Linked DNA regions of Saccharomyces cerevisiae S288C. The protein of the gene in region 1 binds, or shares a complex with, the protein of each later gene. Each region holds a gene or a part of one and is shown on either strand. Other genes may lie near its edges. A codon is read from its position in the direction of its gene.

Evidence for each region. Proteins that work in one complex are often made in the same cells at the same time.
Region 2: the proteins of DPB4 (region 1) and POL2 are in contact, whole or in part, in a cryo-EM structure (PDB 6WJV), measured with the Saccharomyces cerevisiae proteins. Residues at the interface, in NP_010406.3 of Saccharomyces cerevisiae: Ser18 (codon at 1,523), Tyr19 (codon at 1,520), Ile20 (codon at 1,517), Lys21 (codon at 1,514), Glu22 (codon at 1,511), Gln23 (codon at 1,508), Glu24 (codon at 1,505), Ile26 (codon at 1,499), Gln29 (codon at 1,490), Asp30 (codon at 1,487), Arg65 (codon at 1,382), Val69 (codon at 1,370), Asn72 (codon at 1,361), His73 (codon at 1,358), Leu76 (codon at 1,349), Phe77 (codon at 1,346), Arg79 (codon at 1,340), Glu80 (codon at 1,337), Val92 (codon at 1,301), Asp93 (codon at 1,298), His101 (codon at 1,274), Ile102 (codon at 1,271), Gly103 (codon at 1,268), Ala106 (codon at 1,259), Pro110 (codon at 1,247), Arg112 (codon at 1,241), Asp113 (codon at 1,238), Asp116 (codon at 1,229), Gln119 (codon at 1,220), Glu123 (codon at 1,208); in NP_014137.1 of Saccharomyces cerevisiae: Val1270 (codon at 3,090), Gly1271 (codon at 3,087), Trp1272 (codon at 3,084), Leu1273 (codon at 3,081), Tyr1275 (codon at 3,075), Lys1277 (codon at 3,069), Ile1278 (codon at 3,066), Trp1280 (codon at 3,060), Lys1281 (codon at 3,057), Ile1282 (codon at 3,054), Ala1284 (codon at 3,048), Arg1287 (codon at 3,039), Glu1302 (codon at 2,994), Met1309 (codon at 2,973), Ile1310 (codon at 2,970), Lys1345 (codon at 2,865), Asn1348 (codon at 2,856), Lys1581 (codon at 2,157), Glu1582 (codon at 2,154), Glu1583 (codon at 2,151), Arg1584 (codon at 2,148), Gly1585 (codon at 2,145), Leu1586 (codon at 2,142), Leu1607 (codon at 2,079).

What each region holds. Positions count from the first base shown.
Region 1 is NC_001136.10:690,792-695,158, reverse strand, and holds DPB4 (DNA polymerase epsilon noncatalytic subunit), read right to left. Parts: upstream 1,575-4,367; coding exon 984-1,574; downstream 1-983. Other genes in the region: serine/threonine protein kinase KIN1, read right to left, coding at 1-459; TRM1 (tRNA (guanine26-N2)-dimethyltransferase), read left to right, coding at 1,898-3,610; COX26 (Cox26p), read right to left, coding at 3,945-4,145. UniProt on the Saccharomyces cerevisiae protein: As accessory component of the DNA polymerase epsilon (DNA polymerase II) participates in chromosomal DNA replication.
Region 2 is NC_001146.8:145,739-155,108, reverse strand, and holds POL2 (DNA polymerase epsilon catalytic subunit), read right to left. Parts: upstream 6,898-9,370; coding exon 229-6,897; downstream 1-228. Other genes in the region: ORC5 (origin recognition complex subunit 5), read right to left, coding at 1-9; protein transporter YIF1, read left to right, coding at 7,269-8,213; PDR17 (phosphatidylinositol transporter), read left to right, coding at 8,494-9,370. UniProt on the Saccharomyces cerevisiae protein: Catalytic component of the DNA polymerase epsilon complex which participates in chromosomal DNA replication.

The DNA of each region.
Region 1 (4,367 bases):
ACGGTTTACAATTTTTACTGCACAAACCTCATTAGTGTAACGATGTTTTGCCAGCTTCACTTTACCCATAGAACCTGCACCAACTGTTTCAACAAACTCCCAATCTCCTAACGATTTTCGATGAAACTGCTTAGGCATGCCCTGAGAAGACGAAACTCGACTCTGGCTGGTAGTATTTGGCTTTGGTGCATTCTCTCTCGATTTACCTTCAAGTTCTACTTGTCTCTCCTTTTGCTCTGCTTGATGTGAGTTACCATTATTGGCGTATTTGATATCCGCCGGGGGCATTAGCGGTGTGTTCTGCTGCTGCTGCTGCTGTGGACTTTTTCCCATCATTCTCAGCGTAGCGGGCGCCATAGTGCTTGGTTGTGTATGCATGCTGTTGCTTTCACTATTGCCATCATCCTGCTGGTTACCTCTGCCCATTGAGAAGGCAGTATTTACGTGATAATCATCCATATTCTACGTGAGCAAAAAGTAATCGTAATAAACTGTACCTGTTTAAAAGAAGTTGAAAAAAAAAATGCGTAATAGCCCAAAATCCCTAGTATATTCAGTTGCTCTAATCGGAGCAAAGATGTTTGAATTTTACTAATCAATAGTTGGAAAATGAAAGACCGATAGGGTAGGGGGGCGAAGGGTGACAACTAATTATGTTAACTAGCCTAGGTTACCGTATGTCCTTATAATAACGAAGTAAATCTCAAAAAATTTCAAATCACAAAGTGGCTCTAACTAAACCTGCTTGATATCGTATCTCGCTAATACACTTCCTCAACGCCATAATTTCTTGTTAACGTTCCACCAATATCAACTTCTTGTCCCCTTTCTTTCCTTCCGCATTGGCGCCGCGTTGGGTTCCCCGGCTTGCAAATAACGACGATGAGTATAGCTTATTATGTATGTAGGTAATAAAGGCAAGTTACATACTACGATCCTGTGGGAGTGGTGGCAAGCACTACTAGACAGTTTCCATAGCGGGGTTACGTTTGCTCAAGGTTTTGAACTCTAGTTTCTACATCTTGGCTCTCCGTTTTCTGTTTCTTTTCGGAGGACTCTTCTACGTCCTGTAATGCATCGCCTTGTTCTTCTATTTCGTCATGCTCTTTAACCTTTTCCACGGGCACATTCTCCTTATCTTCACCCATATCTATATCGCCATCAGCATCTACTTCACCACTATCTAGTTTTTCCTTCTTCCTCTGTTCAACAGCAGCTTGGTATTCATCTAGTTTATCTCTAACCGGACCCTTCAATGCCGAGTGTCCTATATGGTCCAAAGCACTCAGAACATCATCTACACTGCAGCTTTTTTTATCTTGACTCTTTGCAATTTCCCTTGCAAACAGGAGCAAGTGGTTAACAAATACTGTAGCACCACGCTGTAACGCTAGTGATGCGTCTTTATTTATCAGCAGCTTTTTGCCGCTTTGCTGTGGCACTTCGCGTGCCAAATTCACAATAGTGCTTTTAGGAAATAACAGGTCCTGAATCGTAATGTTCTCTTGTTCTTTAATATACGAAGTAGTGGGGTAATTCCCTTGGGCGTCTTTTCTCCAACCTTTTGGTGGCATCGTGTGTAAAAATATATGGTCTGATATAAATAAGCAATGAAAGGCTTGACTTCTATTTCAAAGTATTAAATAATTAAAAAAATCCTTCCTTTCACCTAAAACCTCTAGGTAATATTCTGTGGCTTCTGCTATTGTGCCGCTATGAATAACAATTTTAAGCTCTGATGATCGAATCTGGTTTTTAACGTTATTCCAATTTGAGCCTTTCTTTATTCGTCCAAAGGGATAAAGCATTATTTTTTTTTCATCGCATTCAATGCTCATCGCAAAGTTACAGATCCTGAGCAGTCATAAGTTGATACCTTTCCTCTTACAATGTAGATATGGAAGGTTTCTTCAGGATACCCCTCAAGCGGGCAAATTTACACGGAATGTTGAAGGCTGCTATATCCAAAATTAAAGCGAATTTTACCGCGTATGGTGCACCAAGAATCAATATTGAGGATTTCAATATAGTCAAGGAAGGAAAAGCAGAAATTCTTTTCCCTAAAAAGGAAACTGTTTTCTATAATCCCATCCAACAATTTAATAGAGATCTAAGTGTTACATGCATCAAGGCGTGGGACAACCTATATGGTGAGGAATGTGGCCAAAAGAGAAATAATAAAAAAAGTAAGAAGAAAAGGTGCGCGGAAACTAACGATGATTCTTCCAAGCGTCAAAAAATGGGAAACGGGTCACCAAAAGAAGCCGTTGGTAATTCTAATCGAAACGAACCTTATATAAATATTTTGGAAGCATTGTCAGCCACTGGGTTAAGAGCCATTAGGTATGCTCATGAAATTCCCCATGTGAGGGAAGTTATTGCTAACGATTTACTTCCAGAGGCTGTCGAATCTATAAAACGAAACGTTGAATATAATAGTGTCGAAAACATTGTCAAGCCAAACCTTGATGATGCTAATGTCTTAATGTACCGTAACAAAGCGACGAATAATAAGTTTCACGTCATCGACTTGGATCCTTACGGTACCGTTACACCTTTTGTAGATGCGGCTATTCAGAGTATTGAGGAGGGTGGTCTAATGCTGGTAACTTGCACTGATTTATCCGTTTTGGCCGGTAACGGATACCCAGAAAAGTGTTTTGCCTTATATGGTGGTGCAAATATGGTTTCTCATGAATCAACTCACGAAAGTGCGCTGAGACTAGTATTGAACTTACTAAAGCAAACTGCCGCGAAATACAAGAAAACTGTGGAACCGCTTTTGTCGTTGAGCATTGACTTTTACGTCAGAGTTTTTGTCAAAGTCAAAACAAGCCCGATTGAAGTCAAAAACGTTATGTCAAGTACTATGACTACTTACCATTGTTCCCGTTGCGGCTCTTACCACAATCAACCTCTGGGCAGAATTTCTCAACGCGAAGGTAGGAACAACAAAACATTCACCAAATACTCGGTTGCGCAAGGGCCTCCGGTTGATACTAAATGTAAGTTCTGCGAGGGGACATACCATTTAGCTGGTCCAATGTATGCAGGACCTCTACACAACAAGGAGTTCATCGAGGAGGTGTTGAGAATTAATAAAGAAGAGCATCGTGACCAGGATGATACATATGGAACACGTAAAAGAATTGAAGGTATGCTATCTCTAGCTAAGAATGAATTATCCGATTCGCCATTCTATTTCAGTCCTAACCATATTGCATCGGTAATAAAATTACAAGTACCTCCCTTGAAAAAAGTAGTCGCAGGCCTAGGTTCCCTAGGCTTTGAATGTTCATTGACACATGCCCAACCATCGTCCCTAAAGACTAACGCTCCATGGGATGCAATCTGGTATGTGATGCAGAAATGTGATGATGAGAAGAAAGACTTAAGCAAAATGAATCCAAATACTACGGGCTATAAGATTTTATCGGCAATGCCAGGATGGTTGAGTGGCACTGTCAAATCAGAGTATGACTCAAAGCTGTCGTTCGCACCAAATGAACAAAGCGGTAATATTGAAAAACTAAGGAAGCTAAAAATTGTGAGATATCAGGAAAATCCAACAAAGAATTGGGGCCCAAAAGCCCGTCCCAACACTTCATAAGAATTTTGATTAGTGTTAGAGCTAAAACGTAAGAAACTAAGGATCCGCCCGAGAACGGTATAATGGACGGAAAAGAATGCTTCTCTTTTGTAATATAGATGTTTAAAGTAATCAGGAGGGCAGTATGTATGTGTAAAAAATAAATAAATATATATATATATTTGAGGAACCAGATCTCAAATGAAAAATATAAGCCAGTATATTTTTTGCATTGTAGCCACTGTTGTAACCTCTGGGCATATAAATAATAATGTATAGCGCCTAGTATCAAACTAAACTCGCCATGTTGGTAGTGTTACACTCATTTTTAGCAAATTTTTTTTTCTTATCAAACTCATGCTTTTCTTGCCTTACTAAAGAAGTATACAGCACCAGGCCAACCTAAACAAACGCTCAATACTGCACTCCATTGAAAGATTTCTGGAATGAGCCTTCTACCTTCCGTAATTACCCACGATTCACCTATTCTACCGCCTGTATACCTCTTGATTGGGGCAGCACGAGCGGAAGATCTCAAAACTTGGCTGAAGAACATTTTACCTATTTAGAATTAAAAGAGTCTGTAAATATCTGTGATATGGTCAAGTGTCTAAAAAGTACAGACAAGGAAACGAAATAAAAAAAGAATTGTTTCGTCATGCAAGAGGAAAGTATGAAAGAAAAATGACTGGCTTATATATTAAGTGTCATTTAGTCGGAGAAAACACTATCATAAACAAAACCATGTTTTCTTTGGTTGCCTACTGATAGAGGGGTT
Region 2 (9,370 bases), on another chromosome or scaffold:
CACATTCATTTTATTTCCAAAAGTATTAAGAAGAAAATAAAAGAAAAGTACTTGTGATTTAAATATCAAAGAAGAGTGTTAATTATGTTCAAGGGCTAATTTTTCGGTTATTTATATTTATATGTTCAGAAACGAATTGAAAATACTCTTTTTCCTTACCTTTTTTTTTTTTTTTTTTTTTTTTTCATGGTAAAGAGGCCATTGAACCTCGCGTTATATACTGCTTACTCATATGGTCAAATCAGCAATACAACTCAATAATATATCAAAACCGTAATACTTGGCTACTTGCTTAAACACATTTAACTTTTGAACAATGCTTTCTCTGGGGAGAGTTCCTTCCCACGCGCCGGCACATGGACAGTGGGCACTCATATAGTCACGTTTCACTTTATGACATCTGGAGCATCTCAAATCTTGAATTAAATAGGATTCGATATCAGAACGTAGTTTTTGAATCAGGTGTTCTTGCAACAATACTTGATTAAAGGCTTTGTGACATCTGACGCATGAAAAAATAGATTCAGGAGCTGCCTTACAAAAGTCAATATCAGAAATGAAAAAACAGTATTCACATAAAAAATCCGGCACCACGAGACTCAAACTTGGATCTTTGAATTCCGCTACTTTAGCAAACTCACGCAATTCAAATATCTTCAGCAGTTCTTTTCTCAGGGTCCTGATTTCTAAAATTGTACTCTTTGAAAGTAACATGACATGGCAGAGTGATTTGACAAGTTCTAGAAGGGGATTTTTCACATTCAGATGGGAACCAGGAAGAACAGGAATAACATAGTCTGCCTCATACTGAGGATCTAAAATGAACTCTTGCTGGTTTTTAAAAAGCTTTTTGACTCTTTTCATTAGTGGTTTGGAAAAAAGGTGAGAAAATCCGTTCAACGAGTTTTCAACACTATCTTCCTTATCTTGTTTTTTTACATTAACTATTTGGGTAGGTCTTTGCGTCCCTGAATTCAATTTTAGATAGCTCTGCTTTGTCTTTAGCATACTATCCAATATGATCATCATCCAATCCTCAAATTCGGGCTGATATATTGGTGACAGAAACTTCTTTAGTTGCCATTGCGAAACAGCGGTATAATCCTGATTTTCCTTTTCCTCTATTTCAATACATGCTAATCCACTAAAATTAAACTTATCCATCCATATTAGCAGATCCCAATAACGTTTGATATTTAAGTCCAGATAACTAAACATTGGATTTGTTCTAACTGCCTTCATCATATATTGGCTGTAGGCGTAACAGTTTTCAGGTGAGTACTTGTTTGTCTTTATTAGAATTTGATTCCTGTCTGCATATACAATAGTTGAGCCAAGTGCACTAAATTCATTTACTAATTGAAGTAAGGCTTTTTTTGTTAAGTTATGAACGTGATATCTTAGTAATCCGTCGAATAGTTTCGCATTCGGGTTTTGAACCCAACTTGCCAGGGAATTTACCAACAAATCTGCGGTTGAATTTTCTTTTAGGGCCTCATCCCACCACTCCTTTAACATACCTCTTAAAACATTCAAAGCGTCATTAGAAAAGGCGTCGTGCACGAATTCAGATGGCGAGTTAATAACGGCATCTTTGTCATCTATACCCATATTATTGTTAACTAGATCACTGCCTTCAGCATCATTGATTAATGCTGATGTCAAAATTGTGTTCACTGTTAAATTATCAACACCAACATCGAGAACTACATTGTCATACACACCTGAGTTATTAATTTTGGGAAATTCTGAATCATTCATTATCCATGATGTATTTAAATCAAAATCATTTTGAATGCCTCCATGATCTGGAAGTGGAGCTTTCTCATTCCACCAAAGCACGATGTTCTCTTTTTTTAGTTTTCTTGCATAAAGAACATCAATAATATAATCCATACTATCCAGCCTCAAATTACAGATTGGAATGTTACTATACTGGGATAACTTGATCAAGTGAGAAATCCACGAACCACTGGATAAAACGTGGTTAACAAGTTTCTTCAATAATGTCGGTTGCCAGTTCAATTGGGGTAGAAGAACTTCATTCAAGGAAAGCTTAACAATGGGCATCTGGTTTAGAAGCCGGATTGTGCCTAAGAGCTTAGTGATAAACGGAGATTGTAACAAGAGTAAAAACTGCAGACCTCTTTCTTCTTTTAATTTAGTAGTTTCCTGTGATAGTCTTCTGTACAATTTTGAGATATCTGTAAAATATACAAACTCAAAATTGATATCTTCTTTAATATCAACCAAGTAAGAATATGTTTCTATTTTACCTTTCTTTTTTTCAAACATTTGTTTGTATATTTGTCCTAATGATGAGGCATTTATTTCCTGAGCCTGGTTGGATGGTTTCAAAACTAATATAGTAATAGTATCTCCCCATGACTTGAATAATGAAAAAAATTCATACCCAATTGATGTTGGGAAATGTAGTAAATAGCCAATGTCCATTGAAAATCCACTCAGATACCTTTCATTTTCCGCCATTGAAAGATCCTTCATTTCAAAACCCTGCTGTATTCCCTTGCCTAACGCACCCATTGCTTTTGAGCGGAACGTTACCGAAGCTCCCAAATCCATGATCGCTCTTTGATGAGGAGTGATAGTGCCCTCAAATACACCAAGTACATTTTCATCGTTGAAGATACTAGTGCAGTTTTCCTTTTCTTCCAGAAAGACAGATTCCGGTAGAGTAATTTTGAATAGCTGACCGCCTGCTGGATTAGACGTTTTGGGATTATTTGGTAACGATGCAGAAGATTTTTCAATAAGGCAATTCTTAATCTTTTGTAGCGGCATTGTTTGAGATTTGAATTTCATATAAATAGTTTTTGGTATATGGAAGGTGATGTTCTGGACTTTGCCATTAATTGTTACAAATACTTCCAAAACCCCTGGCTCACCGGAATCCTTGTATTGTAAGACCTCCCAAGTGGAGTTCGCATATGATTCAGCTTGCTTCCTAATCATACTTCCTAGTGCACTTCTTTCACGGGAGCTGTTTGTATTACCAAATAATTGGTCTCGACGCTTTCTATCTCTTGCTTGGATTTTCCATTTAATTTTTTGATAATTTAGCCACCCAACATAGTCCTCGTCCATGGAAGGAATCTCCGAGGGCAATACTAGTGGATCTTCTTCATTTGTAAGCTGATTTCTTTTCCTCTTGGATACGGCTTTCTTTTTAGTAGTTCTTGCAATTTTAATTTTGGCGTTATCTTCTTCTACAGTTGGTTCAAACAAATCCTCGATATCTTTTATCTTGCCCATTGTTGGTACATTCTTTGTCTTCGAAAAAAATTTGGTTAGTGAAGTCTGCTTAAACTTATCCTCCTTTGTAGCGATTTTTCTTTTTAGCCAATCTGGATGTTCAACCCTTGGAACAGGATTGGAAACCCCTTGTAATGCTGCTGGAATAGTAATTATCTTTTGTATAGCAGATCCAAGTCTTTCTCTATAATAACCCCAATCGATTATGGTTCTGATATCCAGATCTTCCAAAGATGGATCTAATGTCCATCGCCTCAGAAAAGACCTTTTGATGGGAATGTCCGCTGAAAATATTGCGACTGGAATGGCTCGTTCAGTAACAGGTGCATTGAAAGGTTTTGAACTAATAATATATTTACATTGTAGACCTTTATCTTTTACCATATCTTCACCCAAAAAATCCCCCAATCTCCTTGCCGTCGTAATAGAAGTAGATTTTTGCCCTTCATATTCCTTTAAAGTTTTTGACATACTTCTATTTTCACAAATCAAACTGACCAAGTCTTCATCTTCTAACATAAGACCATGTGAATCAAGAACATCTAACCAACGGTTACATACGCTTGCTACAGCACTGTAACATCCTTCTAATGTATCACCTTCCAAAAAGACCTTGAAAATATCACTTTGAAAATTTTTTATTAGTTGTAATTCACCACGCCTCTTCAATTCAAAACCTTTCAGTTCAGCAAGTGAGCCGTCTTCATTGAAGACAGCATATCTTTTCTTTATACCTTTTCCTTCTTCCTTGGAACTAGGCAAAATCATGGCCTTATATGGTCCGTCAACTTCGAAAAAAATCGTGTTTTCACTGTGCGTCTCATATATATAGTTCAATGGGTCTTTTAATTCTTGGTATTGGTGATTCGTAAACTTTTGGTGAACTCTGTAATTCAGCATGGAACATGGGTAGGAGAGATAAAGCTTTTTACCATTTTCTAATGTAAAAAAGTAAGTTTCAGGGAAAGATTTTGGTAAGATACACCAAATACCATCAGTATCTAATTCTAATGGTCTTCCTACCCTTTCTACTAAAGCTCTCGCCATTTGAATGATCGTGGCACCTGTTAAACACGTAATCCCCGCCATTTCCATGGAATACCAACGAGAGCCTTTCCTCATAACATACCCATAAAACGAATTCAAAATAACTTTGTGAGCTAATTGTAATGAGTCATAAAGCACAATCATCTTTTTGGCCTCGTCTCTCGCATGCTTATCAGATGGGTCAATTTTGGACAGATTTCCCTTCCAAGTCTTGGCTAAACCTTTGAATTCGTAACGCCTATCACGAAAGGATTTCACGGTATCGACGTAGAATGGATTTTCTCTTTGGCAGACAATGGCTTCTCGTTCGACAATTTCTGATACTTTAACCCTATGATAAACTTTCCTTGAATATTCAGTTAAACGTTTTTTTATGTGGATAACTTGGTCTGCGTAACTTAGTTCATCAAATGTCAAAACTTTCTTTTTAGAAAACTTGTTTTTGTTGGGAAAAGTCTCATTTTGTAATGCACGCTTGATCATGTTATACTCATCCATCTTACTGGGAAAGAATTCTCCTCTCCAAGCCCATTTTAACTTTCTTGCACAGGTTTTTCCGGGTCTATTAAAATCGCAACTAGCACAATCGCGCTCTGCTTTGATACTATCTGGTTGTAGTCTATTTGTAGTCATGATGTTTGGGTACATAGAGGCGACATCTACATGATAGATCAAAGGTAGTTCGTTTCTTATATTGTTTTCCTTCAACTCTAATAATTTCTGCGTTATCTGGTTTTTTATTTCCTCAAAATTCGTTACTTTATCTACACTGGACTTATTTTCAACTTCCACACTAAATTTCAAAGCTTCTGGTAATTCTTGTAATAATTCATCAATGGCAGAAGGATCTATCTTGAATTCATTCTTCAAATCACTCCTAAAAACACCAGCTTCTAATGACTCCACATGTCCACCCACGTAAGTCTCGGATTCTAGAAGATGTCCATCATAGAACCTCTCAATGGGATCTGTATGCTTATTTGGTAGAAGAATATTATGTTGATAAGCTTGAACCATCAACAACATTTCACACAAAGTACCGGTACCCTTTCTCAATGTTTCATCCGGGTTCAAAGGAATAATAGTACAAAGGGAAAAGATAAAAGGATGAACATATTTCATGTAAAGGTAATACGTAGCGACTGCATCGGAAACAGAATATTCGGAAAGGTGCTGTGGCTTTTCAAATGCATACGGCGTCATTAATTCGGGATCCAGTTCAATTGGGTTATAACCTAGCTTAGATTGAGTAACAGCTTTTAAACCCTGGGAACCTTGTGGTAAATAAGAATCACGCTTCACCCAACGGAAACAATCCATGTGAGAGCAGTATGAGGACTTGTACTCACCTTCAGCATCTGGAGCGAAACCAATTTCATCGAACATGTCCAAGCCGTGAATCTTACTTCTGTTATGTATAAAAGGCCAATCGAAAAAGTCACCATTGAAGGTGGATATAACAGTGGGTCGTACATCTCTTATATGTTCAAAAAACCTTTGTAGAAGCGCCACTTCATCGTTTTCGTTAAATATGGTGAAAAAACCAGGATACTCCGGTTTCGGTGTATACTCAAAGTCTTCAATATCCTCAGAGATTATCTCCCTATTTGTTATCAAAAAACCTTCCCCATCGATCATATACGAAATCATCATTATTTGATCTACGGCGGAATCCGGGAATTTTAAAGGCGGCTTCGTGGTTTCTATATCAAATGCCATTACCACAGGGTCGGCAAATGCAATTTTCCTAGTATCTTCAATGAATCCCTGTTGAGTTACCTTATACCATTTACCGACTCTAATGTCCTTGTCTATAGATACTCGGACATGATACGGCACATCATATTCCCTGATATCTTCGATCAGATGTTTGGCGTCAACTTTTTCCGAGCCATTTGCAGCAACGTTATATATATTTCTTTGCACATTATTATTGGCATTATCCTGCAAGATTGGCCTCAGGAGTTTCCTGGCCTCGAATAACTGATTGGAATTTACAAATGATAACTTAATAAGTGTCTTCTGCAGCCCTAAAAGGTGATTGTCCATGGTAAGATCTTCCTTTCTAATGATTTGTAAGCTTTTGAGACAAGATTCCAGATATTTTTTCACTAGTTCCTCCACATCATTTACTCTTGATTCATCGTTACACGCAATAAAGAAGTATGGGTCATAGACAACTGTCGACTTGAAGCTCCCACCCTCTTCATCTAAAAAGTAGAAGTCAACTCCGGAAATACCTTGGTTGGTCGTTACACGTTCTCCGTCATTCGAATTGCCGCCGCCATTACTACCACTGGATAAGGTTTCCTGAGAGACCAGCGTTGCGTGCATGTTCGTCAGCCACCCTACGCGGCCTGGAATCTGATCTATATCCTTCGCATCAAACCTGCCATTGTATTGCGGCGGTACGTATCTTTCAAATCCCATCATCGAATCGATGTCATCGATCTTACTAGCATTTAAGAGCTGTTGCGCGCTAAGCGCATAATTATTTGAGAGTGTGTTGTACTTGTTGCCAGCTGAATATCTTGCAGTGGAAGATCCTCCGTTGTTTTTTTTCTTGCCAAACATCATATACTTGTCCCCTGAGAGTGTTATCTTGATAGAATGTGCTCTTTCATCATCATATGCTCTTTTTGATAGGTCCTCTTCCAGTTAAAATGGTAAAAGATGCAAGAAACTTACGCGTTCTGGTTACCCTACCTGAAAATAAACCATTCTGACAATTCAAATGACAATAAACTTGGGCCTTTGACGAACACTGACAGTGTTACTATTACTTTTTCTCAGTGCTAAAACAGCATATCCGAGACTCTGTATCAAGATCCATATTGCACACCAGAGCTGTTGTTTTATACTACAACTCATCTTTTTGACTTTTCGATTGTAAGACCTCGCTACTGAGTATCAATAGCAGAAAACGAAAACCAAAGGCCCATACCAAGATGTCTTATAATCCGTACGCATATGCAACAAGTGAGCAGAATGGCGTTAACGATCGCTTTTCCCACACTCCACAACAGCAACGACCAATGCAAATTCCGAGGAACACGCCCGTGAATGGCCAAGGTAATGCGAATATGAATGCAAACGTAAATGGCAGTGGCGGTGGTTTTCCATTCCAAGATCCTCGTGGTTCGATGGCATTCCAACTAGGGCAGAGCGCATTTTCTAATTTTATTGGTCAGGATAACTTTAACCAGTTTCAAGAAACGGTCAATAAAGCCACTGCAAACGCTGCCGGCTCTCAACAAATTTCAACGTATTTTCAAGTCAGCACCCGTTATGTCATCAATAAATTGAAACTCATCCTAGTTCCTTTTCTTAACGGAACCAAGAACTGGCAACGAATTATGGACTCTGGCAACTTTTTGCCACCAAGGGATGACGTGAACTCCCCAGACATGTACATGCCTATTATGGGACTAGTTACCTATATTCTCATCTGGAATACGCAGCAAGGTCTGAAGGGTTCATTCAACCCCGAAGACTTGTACTACAAACTGTCTTCTACTCTGGCGTTTGTGTGTTTAGATTTGTTGATTTTGAAGCTTGGCTTGTATCTTTTGATCGATTCTAAGATTCCAAGCTTCAGTTTGGTCGAACTGTTGTGCTATGTCGGCTACAAATTTGTTCCATTGATTCTCGCCCAGCTTTTGACCAACGTGACCATGCCATTTAACCTGAATATTTTGATAAAATTTTACTTATTTATTGCCTTTGGCGTATTCCTACTAAGATCCGTCAAGTTCAATTTACTAAGCCGCTCCGGTGCTGAAGACGATGATATACACGTTTCCATCAGCAAATCGACCGTCAAGAAGTGCAATTACTTCCTATTCGTCTATGGCTTCATTTGGCAAAATGTTCTAATGTGGTTAATGGGTTGATCTTGATTGAAGAGATCAAAGAGAGGATTTAATTTCATGCGCATTATTATTATCTACGGTCAATTTGTTAAATACTTATATACTTTTATTCCTACGTCATAAATTTTCTATTTACTTTTCTTATTTTTCCTTTCACTCAATATGGAGTGGAAAGAGAACAATAGAGGGATTAAAATTCGTGGGAAAAATCACGCTTTTTAGATAGATTTAATTTACATCATTGTTTAAAAAAAAAGACCCTGAAAAATCACACAAAGAAAGCACAAGAAGAAGAACAAAAATGGGTCTTTTTTCAAGAAAACGGGACCATACGCCTGCTGTGCCTAAAGAGAAACTTATTCCATGTGATAAGATATTCTTGGACCCTCCTGCCAAGTATGGTAACGCACCTCTACTGGAACCCATCTCCGAAGATCAAAACGAAAAATATAGAGCTGTCTTACGACATTTTCAAGATGATGATCTGAAATTACCAGAAAATCTCAATGACCTTGACAATGGGACACATGCCAATGACAGACCCTTGAGTGATTGGGAGAAGTTTTGGCTTTCTAGGGAGTGTTTTCTAAGATACCTAAGAGCCAATAAATGGAACACCGCGAACGCCATAAAAGGTCTCACCAAAACCTTGGTATGGAGGAGAGAAATTGGACTTACACATGGTAAGGAGGACAAAGACCCTTTAACAGCTGACAAAGTTGCCGTTGAGAACGAAACTGGTAAACAGGTTATTTTGGGCTTTGACAACGCTAAAAGACCTCTATACTACATGAAAAATGGTCGTCAAAACACAGAATCTTCCTTTAGACAAGTCCAAGAATTAGTCTACATGATGGAAACTGCGACAACTGTAGCTCCCCAAGGTGTAGAAAAGATCACAGTCTTGGTAGATTTCAAAAGTTATAAAGAACCTGGTATTATCACTGATAAAGCTCCACCCATCTCTATTGCTAGGATGTGTTTGAACGTCATGCAAGATCATTACCCTGAAAGGTTAGCTAAGTGTGTCCTGATCAATATCCCATGGTTTGCGTGGGCTTTTTTGAAGATGATGTATCCGTTCCTTGACCCTGCCACTAAGGCGAAGGCTATCTTTGACGAACCATTTGAAAACCACATAGAGCCATCTCAACTAGATGCTCTATACAATGGTCTGT